2 linked regions of the Solanum lycopersicum genome follow. Each later gene encodes a partner of the first gene's protein in a complex. Links are inferred from orthologs where the notes say so. Each region holds a gene or a part of one and is shown in the gene's direction. Other genes may lie near its edges.

Evidence for each region. The genes of interacting proteins can lie anywhere in the genome.
Region 2: mediator of RNA polymerase II transcription subunit 14 (region 1) and mediator of RNA polymerase II transcription subunit 11 share a complex: the UniProt entries of both Arabidopsis thaliana proteins name them as parts of the mediator complex. The link is inferred for Solanum lycopersicum from reciprocal best matches to the Arabidopsis thaliana genes SWP and AT3G01435.

The regions. Positions count from the first base shown.
Region 1 is NC_090800.1:84,077,156-84,083,123, reverse strand, and holds the start of mediator of RNA polymerase II transcription subunit 14, read left to right. Parts: upstream 1-2,286; 5' UTR 2,287-2,610; coding exon 2,611-2,820; intron 2,821-5,021; coding exon 5,022-5,968. UniProt on the Arabidopsis thaliana protein: Component of the Mediator complex, a coactivator involved in the regulated transcription of nearly all RNA polymerase II-dependent genes.
Region 2 is NC_090803.1:5,625,740-5,629,689, reverse strand, and holds the start of mediator of RNA polymerase II transcription subunit 11, read left to right. Parts: upstream 1-1,150; 5' UTR 1,151-1,466; exon of another isoform or gene 1,467-1,471; intron 1,472-2,759; 5' UTR 2,760-2,774; coding exon 2,775-2,828; intron 2,829-3,806; coding exon 3,807-3,923; intron 3,924-3,950. UniProt on the Arabidopsis thaliana protein: Component of the Mediator complex, a coactivator involved in the regulated transcription of nearly all RNA polymerase II-dependent genes.

The DNA.
Region 1 (5,968 bases):
TCTCTTTTTTTGGTGTATTTTGTCAACCTTTGATGTAGATGATTCACCAAAATCTTTGTTTGAATCCTTCCGAACATTCATAGGATCATGCAAAGACTTTTTTCTATTTTCTTTCCAATTTTCATCGTCCGAATCATAAATCCTTCTATTAGTAAAAGTACTCATTAATATGATGTAATAAAACAATGGGAAAAAAAACGGATGATGAAGTAAGAAGAAAAAGAAGACCTAGAGACAGCTGGTGTAATATAGCATTGAACAAGAAGAAAAAAAGAACAGATAATGGATTAAGAATAAGAAGAAGAACTATAGACGGATGATGGAGTAAGAAGAAGAAGAAGAAGAACCAGTGAACAATGGTCCAATTTTCAGCAATTTCAATTTTTTGGAATTTTGAAATTCAAAATTTAATATTAAATGTTGTGAAACGTTTTTAATTAAAATTAATAATTCAAAATTCAAAAAGTGATTCAGAAGATTGAGCGTTTTAGTGAAGAAAAAATAGGCATGATATTGGGGAAGTGTGTTTTATAGGAGATAGAAGACTATGTATCTCTAAACTTCTACTAAATTATTTTTTTAAAAAGGAAATTATGTAATGTTTAAAAAAAGAAGAGAAAATTAGAGAATACTAAACTTATAGTTGTGTATTTACGTTATTTCATCTAAATGTCTAGCTCAAATGAGGTAGTGCCTAATGTCATTGAGAGCGAGTACCCTAGGCTCGCTTTGCTTATTCAAGTTTCACCCTTTCTTTCAAAAATCAAATTAAAGAGGGTTGTTCAAAATAGATTCAAAACTAATAAGTCAACCACGAAACTGACTTATTAGTATTGGATTATCACATTAATGGTTGGTGAACGTATTAAAATTTAACAGTTTGTCGATACCGGGTAGATTACTCCATTTTTCTTATTGGATAAATTATTACTTTACTAAGAATTATTATAGTTATATTTTTACCGTAAGTATCGTTATTAATAAATACCTATGTGAATGCACCCTCAAAATTTAGTTTTTCAAATATTTCTCATTATGTATAATTAAAGAATTATCATTTATCTGCTTAAGTAGAGCTAAAAAATATTTTGTTTGATCGAAGATTGATATATTAGTGGGTGAAAGTGAAAAAGAAAGCATGAAACAATTGAGCCAATGCACCATTCCTTAATTACCAATCCGACATTAAATGAACCATTACCTTATTAGTTGGCTAGTGGATCAGTCTATTTAAAAATCAATATCCGACAAGCCAAATAATTAAGCATAACTATCCATCTGATCCGTCCAATACACAAACCTAAATTTTAGGTTATTGAAAATGTCCAAATAATATATATGGACTATGATGATCTAGTTGTATAAAATAAATGTGATATTTAAGATACAGACATCAAGCTATTAAAACACACTATAAAAAATGAGAGAATGAAAAGAGTGATCCTATAAACGAAACTAATTTGAATTTATGCTAAAGCGTTTGATTGCATAAGTGTCATATATCTCATAATGAAATTGACGGAATCTCCCTTCATCATTATACCTCAATGCATTATTTAATTTTAATTACGTGATAGTTTTTGAGGTTAAGGTATGCCTCCAAACATGAGAATGAAACTCCATATATTCAGAGATGTTGATCTTCTTCATTAATGTGAAAATAACCAGTTTAAAGCTTGAAAATTTGTAGTGAAACAATATTTGAAAATAATAGTTAAAACTTTTTGACGAATAAATAATGTAACGGTGCATATAATTATCAAATAGACGAAGCCATCATCACTTTAAGAAAATCAAGAAATGTGTAATTTCTTGAAAGAGAATTCTGAAACTGGGGCGGAGTAATAAGGGACTACGAGGACATGTTCATCTCTGGACCTGGACAAACAAGTGGGCGAATACTATGACTATAATAATTAGATTTCACTATTACGTGATAATTTTTTAAACAAGTATACCAGAAGTAAATTCGCAATGATTTATTAGACGCGTAAATCAAGAAATTTAAGTTTCATGAAGAATAATTCAGGTCACAGATGAATAATAAATGAATGATTGTTAAACACCGTTTTAAAGAAAAAATAAAATAATAGATAAGTTCTTACCGCTCAACAGATAAGCTCAAACAATATTTAGGCTTCACATACTTTGAAAGGTATATCAAAAAACGCAATAAAAATATTTTTTCGCACACTTAATAAATATTTTTATATGGAAACTTTCTAAATATTATATTTTTTTCTAAATCAACATGATTTAAGGAGATGAATTTTTATAAACTTGGTCAAATAGAACTTTAGAGGTTTTATATTAGTTTTGACTTCTCTCCGACTAGTAGTACCATATTCCAATTTTGCACACCCTCTCCCTTCCGCCGTTACGCGTTACCTTCAGACATCCGATCTATCAAAAAGGGAAAAAAAAAATAGAACAACACTCGCTTCATTCACTCTCTCTACAGGTCGGAGATTCATATTTTGTTTCAAATTCCACAATTTTTACAAACCCTAATAGTAATTGATTGTTTGGGCGGTCAATTTTCATTAAATGGCATTGTATTAGTAGGAATTCGGGATCGTCGGAGTAATTTAATCGGAGGGTTTTGCGGAGATGGCGGAATTAGGGCAGCAGACGGTGGATTTCTCGGCACTGGTAAGCAGAGCAGCTGAGGAGTCGTATGTTACGTTGAAGGAATTGGTGGAGAAGTGCAAGTCGTCTAACTTATCTGATTCTGAGAAGAAAATTGGGATTCTTAAATATGTAGTTAAGACTCAGCAGCGTATGCTTCGTCTCAATGTCCTATCCAAATGGTGCCAGCAGGTTGTTTTCTTTTTTTTTTAATCTATTCACTCCCTCTCTCATTATGTATGTTGATGCATTCAAGATTGAACACTATCTTTTTTTAATTTTTTAGATATAATGATGTGTTTTTCCCAATTTGTGACCCCCTTTATTAATCCAAAGGTACCCGTTACCTCCCACCGGCATAGGTACGGGGAAAATTTTCTTTCCAGGCTTAGGCAGATGGGGATTCTATGTTTGAGTTCTTTAAGGGTTATAAGAAGTGTGCCTTCTTTCTTCTTTGTTGAGGGGTGCGAAGAGTAGTTTTCGACTTCTAGGGTTTCTTTTGTTTCAGGATTTGTGAATTGGAAAGAGGAAAAGGAGAGGATTTTCTCTTTCTTTATTGATGCATTGAGAGAGTAGTGACAGAATGTATATTGGTCATGTATTTGTTTTTGTGAAATTTGTGAGTTGGAATGGAGAAAAATGGATCTTGATTAAGATTAGAAAGGTAGCCGTGAAATGAGTAGGGTGGATGTTGTTTTAGGAATTGGGAAAAGATGGACCACGAGGAGTAATTTAAAACTTAAAATCAGATAGTTAGGGTGGAAGTTCTAGTTATAGTGAATGTCGAGGACAATTGCCAAAAGAAAACAAAAGTTGAGGACAACTTCAAAGGTTTTAAGATTGTACGATGCTCTGTTCAAGTTGTACCAACAGCTTATTTGATGAAAGGCGGAATGATCCAAGAGACCCTTGTATTTGAATCGGATTGTCGATTAGACCCTTCTATTCTCGCCTTTTTTTTTATGACAAGGGAAACCTGGAGCCGCTGCCTTTTGGGTGCACATAGGGTAAAACCCCACTCCTATGCAATAGCTCGCAAACCACATAGGAGAGGTAACCCGCACCAGGCGACTCAGAAGGCAAACCCCCTTGCTTTCACATGCAAGGTGTTTCGAACTTGAGACCTCCAACAAAGCCCTTCTATTCACGACTTTGTCGACTGAACTTTTAGACTCAATGAAACACAATCTTCTAAACCCCTTTGACCCTTCAGATTTTTAATGACATGTCATTTATTTTTAACTTTATTTTGAAGTTTTCAATTTTTTTCCTTATTCACTCCATTTCTCCCTCACCGTCTCTATCCCTTGACCACCTCTTTCCATTTCTTACATCTGATATACCACCATAACTTTCCATCTTTATCGGTAACCACTTCCCAAAAAAATTAAAGACCTCCATTCTCCTCGAAATTTTCATCATTCACAACTTTCGATCACCTTTTTTTTTCAGCAACGCCTCTGTCCACCACTTAAACCACCGTGAAGACTGTCATTTTCTGATGAGATGGTAGAGAAGATGAGCAATCTGGCGATCAGTTCGTTGAAGAAGGGAGAAGATGAAGAGGTTTCCAATATACAAAAAGCTGAACAATTTTGCTCTTTGGGCAATTAACAATTTGGGTTTATTTTATTTTATTTTATTTTATTTTGTTTTGTTCTGGACCAACTTGTTTTGCACTATGTTTTTAATTATAATAAATTGATGACCATTTTTGGTCACGTTTTGACAAAAAAAAACCACCACTGTGAACTCCTCTTCTCCATTGATGCCAATGAACACCACTAAAAGACCTCAATATTTCTGGACATATGCACATAATTTTACACAGCACACACTCCACCTAATTCAAAGAATCACAATCACTCTTCACGCTCTAAAACTACTGGATCTTTGTCACCTAACAATTACGCCAAAAACATGGAAAGGAAGGACAAACCAGGAACAGTAGGACTTATCCCATTTCTAATCTTGGGAGAAAGAGTATGTGTAAAAGAAATAGGGTGGGGTGGGAACAATGGAACTGCTGTCACACCAAAAGAGCTATGAGTTTCCTGTAGATCTTGCTTCAAACAACTTTCTGTAGCATCATTTGAACCTTTAATCTTTGATTTAATAAACTCTTTCGAGGTATATGTTGGTAATGCTATGTACAAGGTTTGTCTTCATGTCTTTCTTCTCCCTTTCATGTCTTCATTTCTTCATCTGTCTTTTTCTGGAAGGAAAGATACACTTGTATTATATTCAGTATCTAGGTGAGTAGAAATATGGTTGTCAAATCTTCCTGGACCCTTAGAATCAACGGTTGGCCCTATATTCTTTATCATTGATCTCGTAGAAACTGCAGTTCAAACTCCGTATTTAAAGTACCAACACAATTATCTGGTTTGCAGGTCCCGTTGATACAATACAGTCAGCAGCTTGCATCCACTTTATCTAGTCATGATACATGTTTCACCCAAGCTGCCGACTCGTTGTTTTTTATGCATGAAGGACTACAACAAGCCCGTGCTCCCATCTATGATGTTCCTTCAGCTGTTGAAGTTCTTCTTACCGGAAGTTATGATCGTTTGCCAAAATGTATAGAAGATGTAGGCTTGCAGAGCACATTAAATGATGACCAGCAAAAACCAGCATTAAAGAAATTAGACACACTGGTTAGGTCGAAACTCCTTGAAGTTTCGCTTCCTAAGGACATTACTGAAGTCAAAGTTTCTGATGGTACTGTTCTGCTTCGTGTGGAAGGAGAATTTAAAGTTCTAGTTACCCTCGGTTACAGAGGACACTTGTCAATGTGGAGGATATTACATATGGAGCTGCTTGTTGGTGAGAGAAGTGGTCCTATGAAGCTGGATGACTTTCGGCGGCATGCTCTTGGTGATGATTTAGAACGAAGAATGGCTGCTGCAGACCATCCATTTATGACCTTATACTCTATCTTGCATGAGCTTTGTGTGGCACTTGTTATGGACACAGTCATAAGGCAAGTGCAAACACTTCGTCAAGGAAGGTGGAAAGATGCTATTCGTTTTGAGCTCATAACTGATGTCAGTACTGGACAGGCTGGCAGTGCTGGCTCCACACAAACATCACAAGACGGGGAGTCTGACTCTGCTAGTTTGCGTACTCCTGGGCTGAAGATTTTGTATTGGTTGGATTTGGATAAGAACTCTGGAACATCCGAAATTGGAACATGCCCATTTATAAAAATTGAACCTGGACCAGATCTGCGAATTAAGTGTCTTCATAGCACATTTGTTATTGATCCTCTAACGGGAAAAGAAGCAGAATTTTCCCTTGACCAGAGTTGTATTGACATTGAGAAGTTGCTGCTAAGGGT
Region 2 (3,950 bases), on another chromosome or scaffold:
GTTTAAAATAGTTTCTCTCTATAAAATAATTTTAATATTAAAAGCACATCGATATTTGTTTTTTTTCGTAATTTGACTTTCAAAAACACTTTTTAAAAAAATTATTCAAACACAAATTGCTTATAAAAACACTTTTTAAAAAAATTAGTCAAACACATATTGCTTATAAAAACACTTTTCAAATGAATTTGCTAAAAAGTTTTTTTAAAAAACTTGTTTTAAGAAAACGTTTTTGAAAATAAATAGTTTTTAGATTAGTATATATTCATTTAATCAGCAAATGTATTTTTAAAGGGAAAATTGTATATAGCAAACTAATAACCTAAAATAAATAGAGTAGGTAGGGTTTGATTTAATTATGCTTCATAGTAAACGTTTGCAAAAAAATTGTCAGGCGCCTCTATCCCAAAAATCTCGTTCGCCACTCTCCTCCAATCTCTCACTCGCTTCCTCACTTTTTACACAAACACAAGTGTATAAAAATTGTTTCTAATTGTATAAAGCAGAGAAAATTGTATAAATACATATATTTTTGTTCCTCTCTCTCCCCTCTTCCAGGTCTCGCTCGCCACTCTCCCAAATCTCGCTCGCCACCCTCGCCTTTCTCACTTATACAAACAAAAGCGAAATGTATAAATTGCGTTTCTGTTTGTATAAAGCATGAGAAAATTGTATATACACATGCAAGTACATATATTTTCGTCCTATACAATTATAATTATACAATAAAAATACCACCCTGCCCAATTTCTTTTGTCTTTCTCTCTTTCTCGTTTTATACAATTCTCAAATTGTATCTAATTTCTCTCTTTCTCGTTTTATACAATTCTATTCAATTGTATATTCCTTGTCAAGTCTTTTTTGTCTTTCTCTTTCTCATTTTATACAAATTCAAATTTTATATAATCGTTCTATACACTTATAATAATGCAATTTGCTTTATACGCTTCGTTTTTATACAGTTCTCTGCCCAAGTGTCTTTCTATTTTTTGTTTTATACACTTCATTTTATACAATTTGCTTCAACTGTATATGTATAGAGAATTATATAGTTTCTATGTGTTAAAGAATGACAAAAAGTCCCACATCGGTGATTAATGAGATGAGTGAACTCCTTATAAGGCTTGAGCAATCCTCCACCCTTTGAGCTAGCTTTTGAGGTGTGAGTTTCCTTTTGAGCTAGCTTTTGGGGTGTGAGTTACGCCTAAGACCTAATTTCACACTATGTTGAATTTTTTGTTTGCTATATCTTTTTTAAAACCTTTATAACATATTAAACAAATAAAAAATTGAAAAAATGTTTTTTTTTAAAAAAAATATGCGTTAATTTAAGCAATATGTTTATTCAATTACATGCTTGTATGATAAAAATAAAAAATAAAAATTACAGGCAACAACTCGGAGCTGAGACTATCTCCGACCACCGGTGACTGCCGTTCTTCTGCCACTCATAGCCGCCGTTGAAGGTAAGGTATGATTGACTTCTCACTTGTAGATGCCGATATCAGACATCTCGCTGGCTCCTTTTTTAATAATAAGAAAAATATTTCGTGCCTGTGCGTCTTATATGTATTTGTATTTGTATCTGAGCTTTGTTTCACTCATGCATGATATGAAATATCGTTGTGCATTTGAGCTGAATTTGGGGCTTTTTGGTTCTTTCGGAGCTTCAGGGATTTGTAATTTGAGGACCTTATTTTTTTGGGTCCTAAATCCACTGCTTGCTTTAGTGGCTGGCTTTAGGGTTGAGCCGCTGCAGTCAGAGATATGAGTGATGAATTCCTCCAAAAAATGGAGAAGAGAGAAGATGACAAAGAGTTAATGAAGTAAGTGGAATATGAAATTAGTGAGGTTTTGAGAGTGTAGGACAAATTTGGAACAGCGAAGAAACATAAGACTATCACTGGTTGCTTGTTTAATAAACTGCAGATCTCAGGTTCAGGGCTATTGAACGATTCGAAAGAGCTCATTCGGAGTTGAGTGAATGGCTACTCCGAGATAGAATTTGAAAAATTGAATTCAAATTTATAAGACTATTGAACAATTAGAAAATTGCAAAAAACGAAATGATTCCATTTGAACAGTAAGGGGTGATTAATCAAGTCTGGCAATGGGTTTGAGTGTCGAAGGAAATAGCCCCTTTGCAGAAATGCTAGAGGAAGACGGTGAAATGTTAGGATTGCTCGTTTGATAATCAGCAGGTCTTGGGGGTAAAGGCGGAGCTAGGATTTGAAGTTTACGGGTTCAGTGTTCTAGTCCTTGATCGTTCGGTATGGGGGATGGAATAGACAAGGATTTCTCTCGTGGGATCAGCTATCCAACTTCTATATGGAATAGCCAATCTCAACATTTTAGAACATATCGCATGAGATTGTTATCCTGCATCTTGCCAACTACACGCAGGATAAAATAATCTCTTATAAATTAATAATTTATACATATTAAATAGATTTCTTAAGACAAATATAGAGTTCAGAGAAAAGTTGTTGATTTCGGCCAAACCCGTACCTTGAAAGAGTGTAGTAGGGTGGTAAGTTTAATGGACATAATACTTATTAGATGTAAGTTTTTCTTCTGTTTTCGGATTGATTACAGAGGATTTAGGTTTCTGATTGTTTAATTATTTGACTGCAAAGATCTCAGAACCAAAATCTCTGAAAACTGCACATAATCAGGTTTTATAGATTCTGTTTATTTCTCCACATCTAGATCGCTCTACGGCATTGCAATTCAGTAATCTTTTTCTCCTGTCCTGACAGCTTCCCTCAGAATACATGGATTCGCAAAGCCAGAATACTTCATTGCAGCGGCTGCAAAATGTTGAGAAGGTAAATGTTTCTACAGGATTATTGACTTAAGATGGGTTGATTTCAGTAGCTGCTATTCTTTGTCATCAAAATACTTAATGTTCTGATTTCAGAATTGATACTACAATATTATTCCTTCCTTGCCCGAGTCCTTGTTACTTGTTCCCCTATCCTGTATACCAAAATGTTTCAAGAAAGAAAGAGAGCGAGGAGAGTACTTTTTGAATTTAGGTGAAATCCATATTTCGTTGATTGGGTGAAACACATAGACAAGCTTGAAGATATATGGATGGTGTTATGCCTCGGTAAGGGACTCCACCATTGAGCTCTCCTAAGCCTTCTGGAGTTCCGGATCCTTCAATTTCTGGGACAACCGGACAAATGAAATGAATGAGAACAAGAGCCGCTTGGCTAGATAACCATGACTAAGAATTTCATGTCACCCACCTAACTGTCAAAATGGGCTGACCCAACCCAACTCAACCCATCCTCAAATCAGCCAAAATAATATAATTCGAAGTCAGAGAATGAAGATGGGAATAGTGTTGAGATGACGACAATGATGAATAAATCAAAGACGCTGTGGACCGAGAATAGGATCTGAAAGGGCTTTTCAAACTTCTGCTTCTGTTGGTTGCTTTCTTCCTGTCTGGCTCATTGAGTATCTTCCACAAACTCCAGGCTGATCTTCAACAGTTGGAAATCAAATCGTATTCGAGATCGTCCTGTCATATGCCCTGAATATCTACTGACACGAGTTTTCTCTGGTCTAACGGAAACAGCATCTCTGTTGTTTCCTAGTCATTGGTTTCTTCAGATTAAAAACGTGGAGATGATATAGCATGTCAAGTGCAAAGGCAACTAATCGTAATTTGATGAGTAAATCACGATCATAACTTTCAATGCGGAGTCAGTAATCACTTTTCTTGATAGAAAAAATTGTAACTGAAACATTACTCTCATACCTTCTGTTGCTGTATCTTCCTCTGATGCTTGCAGAGGATAGTCAGAGTTCTGGAGCTAGCAGGAGGTGTAATGGATGAAATGGCAAATCCGAGCGGCCCCAGGAAGGAGCTTATTAACAACCATTGTAGTGAGTTCATGCAACTAATCAAGGTAAGGACATACTTTACTTCTTTGCAC